Saccharomyces cerevisiae S288C: one gene and its partner. Changing the gene in region 1 together with any one later gene gives a genetic interaction. Each region holds a gene or a part of one and is shown on either strand. Other genes may lie near its edges.

Region 1 (4,625 bases):
TTTGCTGTAACTAATGGTGGGGGAAGATTGCAAAAAACGAAGGATATCAGTTCCATTCATTTCCAGGGATTTGTGTTGATATGTGGGGCTATGAATGCGTTGAAGTTTTCAACTTCTGTGAAGGAGTTAAAACAACCACTAAACAATCTCGTTCAAAAGCTCTAATTACTTGTATATTATTTTATACGTTTATGTCTATTTCAATGCAATTACGTGAAAAATAAAAGAACGCTACCATAAAAATGTTAAAAACTGGTTAAAAATGTCAAAAAATGGTCCGAAAACTGAAAAAATATTCGTGATACAGTTTGCATAAAAAAAAACTATTGTGCGCGATTAATATAACCTACTAGACTTAAATGACGACACTTTAATATGAAGTTCAGTAGTGTGAATTAAATAAAACAGTCAGTTCTTGATGGATTGTACCCTTTAAAGAATTTATCTTTATGTCGCTGTTACTACGAAAAGCGTGTGCGAGGTATTATAACTATTTTTCTGTATTTTTTATATATTTTTATTTGCCAAGTTAAAAATCAGTCATCTCAAAAGATTCATCGATTTCAGTGTTCGGAAGGCTAGTATACTTCTTCTTTTTCTTAGTTTTCAATTTAGATCCTGCTTTGTTAGAAGTGCTACTTATGGGTGCTCCGCCTTCTAACTGCTCATCTTGTTCTAAATCATCTTCTGCCCCGAGTCCGCTTTCCAGATCATCTGCCCATGAAACTGTCTTATTGGGACTGTCATGTTGTCTATTATTTGGATCAACTAAAATTGTGTGACGCGCTTTTCTCCTCACTCTTCTATCATACGCATAAACTCCTAAAACCACTATCAAAAATGTAACGATGGTAACTACTACCGCTTTGTGTTTATACATTGAAATCTCTTCTGCAAATTCTTCTACCTCTTCCTCTTCTTGTTCATATTCTGAAGATTTATGTCTACTATCCTCGAGGCCTTGATTACTTTGTTTTTCATTATTATCGTCTTCATCATCGTCATCGTCATCATCGTCGTCGCCCTCGGAGTTGTGATCGTCTTCATCGTCGTCATCATTGTCGTTATCATCATCGCCATCTTTATCTTTATTGCCTTCTTTTTCCTTTCCTTCCTCATTCTGCGCTTCCTGTTCTTCCTCTTCGAGGTTTTCTTTTGGCTTATCACCGCTTTCAGTAGTAGCATCTTGATCACTATCGTCGTCAGTAGTAATCATAACATTTTTCCCATTGTTGTCAATGATCATAACATCGTTCGAGTAAATATCGACAATGCCTCTACTCACTAAACTTTTATCGAAGGGTACCATGTGAGAAGCATTATAAACGCTAACAAACGTCAAATTTCTATCATACTTCACGTATCCGCTAAATTCTTCGCTGTCGTCTGTACTCTTCGATTTATGGATCCAATCGAACGAAACAGCATCGTCGCTAAATCCCTTTATTCCACCCCATTTTAGATTGTCTATAGTATCTAATACGCCCTTGTTATTACAAATCAAGTCTTTGTCACCATTGAACAAGACAATCTCTATTCCACTTTCAAGTAGACCAGGTAATAAATGGATAGATGGCTTTGAAATAGGATTAGACAATTTAGTTCCAACGCTATTAGTGCATTCCTTCCAATGATCAATTTTATCAGAATCAAGATGCAACGAATCAATAACACCAGGTGTGCTGAAGAATTTACTGACAAAGGAAATATCTTTCGGCCAATTCATACCACAAGATGGATAACTATCTTTTAAATTGAAGTTATACATGTTCAAGCAATCCGCTGTTCCCTTTTGCGAAGATTCCCTGGTATAAGACAATAGAAGGTTTAAAATATTCTCACATTCCTGATACGAAAAATGGGCTGCCTCATCTGTACTGGCAGAGTTTATCAGATTCTGGCAATTCTCGTGTGCGTTCGTTAAGTGTTTGAAATTGGGGTTGCTTTCATCAATCAGTTTCTTCTCCATAGCAAACGGAAGGTACGATAGGGACTGTGTATTGGGGTCAATCCAACCGTTACCAATCAATAGCGCCTTCAAGTCGTATGTATCCCCGTCGATCTTTGAAAATTTGTTATGGTTCAAAATTGCATTGGCAAAGAATGGTATGTATTGGCCAGCGTAACTTTCACCCGATAGTATGATTTTCCTAGTGAGGTCTTCTGGAAAAATCTTGAAATAGTTCTCCAGAAAATCCATAAAATGCTTGGTCACATCTTCTAGGTCTTCGTCAAATTTGTTTTTGTCGATTTTACCTTCGTCTTTATTTTGTTCGACAGAAAACCCAGTACCAGTAGGTTGGTCGATAAATAAAAGATCGCCTTTGGATATCCAGGACCCTTCATTTAGATAAAGTTTACCGTCTGAATTCACCCTAAAAGGGCCGGATTCGACCAAGGCACCATCCATGGAAGAGCAACCGGGTCCACCATTTAACCATATAATTAAGGGACGGTCGACATTGCCATTAGAGTCGTTATTGGTAAACTTCCAAAAAAAGTACTCCAAGTCAGAGCTATCCTGTTCATCCGCATCTTCGGAACGTAAAGGAATATGGCCAGCATGCATCTGTGGAATATTTGAAGGGTCTGGCACTTCAGATAACCCTGGCAACAGCTCATATGCCACTTTGTACTCCTCAGATGACGGAAGGGATACTGAGATCCTTATTAAAGCAGACATGGCTAGCCACGTTCCGAGCCACCTATTGTAAAACATCTATTCAGGTCTTTATCTCTACGGTATTCTATAGCCAAGGTACTCTTTAACCAAAGTATGCTTCAGCAAGCTTTTTCAAATAGATGGGAGTTGAAGACAATGATAAGAAATCGCTTTTCTTAATGTTTCCTATATTATCAAAATATTCCACTTTTTTTTCTTTTTCCACATTGTTTTTCGGTTCCGGGCTGCAGTAAGCAAATATAAATGTTGGTGACAAAACTTGAAAGTTATAGCCAAAAAGCTCGCAATTCCTCACCTAACAAAATGATCCTGTTGGAATAAAAATCAACTATCGTCTATAAACTAGTAGTCACACTACCAGTATATTATCATATACGGTGTTAGACGATGACATAAGGTATGAGAAACTGTCATCGAAGTTAGAGGAAGCTGAAGTGCAAGGATTGATAATGTAATAGGATAATGAAACATATAAAACGGAATGAGGAATAATCGTAATAATATTATGTAGAAATATCGCTTCCCCTTTGAGGATTCCTCTACCCTCGAGGAGAACTTTTAGTATATTCTGTATACATAATATTGTAGCCTTGATCAACAATGAAATGCCTACAATCATCTTAAAATTCACCAATCTCTCAGCTCTTATTTAAGCTTTGTTGAGACGAGAGTTAGTTATCCGACAATACTATACAAGACATTAACATCATTTTTCGTGCTGTTAGGGTGGTGTCTTTTCATTTGTTGCAATAAATGATAAGTAGTTTACCGTCCATTAACATGTGCATTAAATAATAGCATTATGTGAACATAATGTATATTTAACTAAAACTATTATCGAAGAAATCCGAAGAACTCATCCTTGTTAGCTCAGTTGGTAGAGCGTTCGGCTTTTAAGCGCATTTGCTTAAGCAAGGATACCGAAATGTCAGGGGTTCGAGCCCCCTATGAGGAGTTCTTCTTTATTTTTTTCCCGGTTCACTATTTTTCCAAGATTAAACATGGCTCATATACACCATCCAAAAATCTCTTAATTAACCTATAACCATTGTTCTCCTTCACCTCATTCAAGAATCTGGCTTCTGAATTGCCATTGATAGAAGAACAGTACTAAATTGCGCCGGAATAATGAAGAACATCCGGGTTACCTTAGATGTCTTTTTTTCCTTTTTTTATCACATTTTTCACTCTGCACTTTTTCACTTTCTCGAGGTCCAATCTATGACTAATATTAAGCGCATTTCATTTGAAGATATGTGTATCGCAATCTTTTTTCTTATCTTGTAGACCCTCCTATACACATCTCTAGACTATATATTTGGTTTGGTTATATCTTTAAGAACTTATTTCTTTTTCTTATTTTTCCATTCCACTAAGTTAAACCCTGCAGTTGATACAGACATTGAATAGGACAACCGATCGTTACTATCATGACTTTACCTGAATCAAAAGACTTTTCTTACTTGTTTTCGGATGAAACCAATGCTCGTAAACCATCCCCATTGAAAACCTGCATCCATCTTTTCCAAGATCCTAACATTATCTTTTTGGGTGGTGGCCTGCCATTAAAAGATTATTTCCCATGGGATAATCTATCTGTAGATTCACCCAAGCCTCCTTTTCCCCAGGGTATTGGAGCTCCAATTGACGAGCAGAATTGCATAAAATACACCGTCAACAAAGATTACGCTGATAAAAGTGCCAATCCTTCCAACGATATTCCTTTGTCAAGAGCTTTGCAATACGGGTTCAGTGCTGGTCAACCTGAACTATTAAACTTCATTAGAGATCATACCAAGATTATCCACGATTTGAAGTATAAGGACTGGGACGTTTTAGCCACTGCAGGTAACACAAATGCCTGGGAATCTACTTTAAGAGTCTTTTGTAACCGAGGTGATGTCATCTTAGTTGAGGCACATTCTTTTTCCTCTTCATTGGC
Region 2 (2,360 bases), on another chromosome or scaffold:
GCCACATTTTTCTCAATTAAATATGCACTGGGTTCGTCGAGAAAATCCGACTTGGCGTCGGTACTTTCTGAAGATGTTTGCATGCCCAGTTTATATCTTGTCTTCTCTATAGCTCTGCTATGGTGTTGAAGGATGTTATGCGGATCAAAATAGCGATCTGTCTTATACCAATTGAAACTTTTCATCACCTGCTTTTTACTTCGGAGGCATTTTTCATTCAATACTAAGTTCCGGAATGATACAAAATAAAAATGGTATTGAGGCGACATAAGTTGTTAGCACAGCAAAGATGGTTGCGGGTTAAGTTTTCTGATCGTTCTGGGAGAGTATTTACGTTAAAAAATAGGAATCAATTAAGCATAATCATGCCGTTTTGTGTGCTACATATCTGTTTCCCACTATATAAAGTCACGTTAGAATGCAATTTATCTAATTTACTACCCCATTTTAGCGTCAGTGGATTGGTAAATCCCTTTGCTAGCAAGGTACTGTCAGAATATTTCTCCTTCCTTTCAAATAATTGCACCAATATCTTGCCAATACTTCACTTGAGATTGTTCTACAATATCCGCTGTCTTGGAAAGCAATTTTGAAAATCTTCTCCGGGATTTAATGTGAAAGATTCGCCAGCTTCAGTCTCCTGTACATTTTCCTCAGCGTTGCTTGTTGGCTTCTCGAAAGTTCTTCCCTCAATAAAACTTAGAAAAAGACGGTGGCAATCTTCTTCGCAATAAAAGTAGTAAGGAGTACTCCATATTTTATGGTCAAATAGATATTTATTCATCTTGTACGTGATAATGTTTCATTCCCCTTTCACCGAACGCTGGCGTGTGCTTACCTCTAACGAAAGCCTAATATTAGATGCTTTATTGTCGGTCTGTCCCGGAGATGAAAAAAGAGGATAGAAGGGACATGAGATGGTATACTCGGAAATTAGTCAGTGAAATCAAAATTACAGATGCCAGGAACATAATCATTATCGGCTTACAATGAGCCCCCTCGTAACACGTAAAGTGAATAACTTAAGTACGAATTGAACATGTCTTTGGGAAGGACCACATTTCCCTCAACTAAATTGGCACCATCTCCACTCAACACATCCAGTCTAATATTTTTATTTTGTGGTTGCGATTGCATACACGATTTGAGTACTAAATTTTTGACGAATGTAATACGGACCAAACAACAGCTTTTTTATTCACTAGTTATTCTTATAACTACAACACCAAACCCTTTTTGAGATCCTTTTTTTCTTTTTCTATTGTTTGGATTTTCTTGGCTGCATTATGCGAAGCGCAACAATAGAATGTGACAAAAACTGACAGAACCCTTATTAAACAAATATGAAAACCTCTAAAAAAACTTACAAATACGATAGTTGTAGGCCATGATGTTTGTACAGCTCGAATATATGATGCTCAATTCTGGCTTCGAGATGTTCTTGAATTCGATTCTTGTTCTCGTTTTAAAGAAAAGTAAGTATACTTGGTGAATAAAATGCTTCCGCTTCAAGGTAAATCAGCGTCAGGATATTGCTTTCTCCAGTATTCACTTTGAGCCTCCTTTTCTATTTGTGTTGCCTTCAAAACATATGCCATCAAAATAGGGTCTGATCTAATACTATAAAAGTTGTTTAGACCATTTGAAGTCTTCCCTGCTGAGACAGGTGATTGTGTATCCTCGGCACTATTCGATGAGGAATCCGAGTGCGAACCAGAATTCACTTCCTTGATAAGAGTGGTGAAGAACTCATGGCACTTCTTGCCGCTATAGAAATAGTACGGGGTATACCATAGTCTCTTCATGAATAGATATTGGTTCATATTATATGCGACAGTACCCCATTCCTTCCCCGCAGGCTTGCGTGCGATCACCTCCACTAAAAGCTTTATCATGAACTCCTGTTCAGTGATCGCTTTCCCGAATGTGAATGCTGCAACCACCATTAAAGCCATGGAGGCTACTATAAGGGACATCACTAAGATCACAGTGCACCCGTCGTTATCATGAAAAAGCACAATCAATGAGATCAAACTCACGATTATGATGATCATAAACATGATCGGTTTACAATGAGCAATTTCATAAAGTACATAACTCAGATGTGAACTGAATGTGTCTTCGGGAAGAGCTACATTCTCTTCGATTAAATGTGCACTGGGTTCGTCGAGAGTATCCATCTTTACGTCGGTATTTTCTGAAGGTGTTTGCATGGTCAATTGATATCTTGCCTTAATATGGCACTTATAGATGTTATCCTGATCAAAATAGCCAGCTGTTTTATGCTTTTTTAACGTTGTTCACCATTGTATTTATTATTTTTGAGGCATTTTTCACGTATTGTTGCAACGTCCCGAAGG

The links.
Region 2: mutations in KEX1 (region 1) and DFP2 together harm fitness more than expected from each alone (negative genetic interaction), as found in Saccharomyces cerevisiae (2 studies listed by BioGRID).

What each region holds. Positions count from the first base shown.
Region 1 is NC_001139.9:111,946-116,570, forward strand, and holds KEX1 (serine-type carboxypeptidase), read right to left. Parts: upstream 2,720-4,625; coding exon 530-2,719; downstream 1-529. Other genes in the region: YGL204C (uncharacterized protein), read right to left, coding at 1-60; ARO8 (bifunctional 2-aminoadipate transaminase/aromatic-amino-acid:2-oxoglutarate transaminase), read left to right, coding at 4,114-4,625.
Region 2 is NC_001133.9:184,745-187,104, reverse strand, and holds DFP2 (DUP240 family protein), read right to left. Parts: upstream 785-2,360; coding exon 560-784; downstream 1-559. Other genes in the region: pheromone-regulated DUP240 family protein PRM9, read right to left, coding at 1-269; KTD1 (DUP240 family protein), read right to left, coding at 1,509-2,213.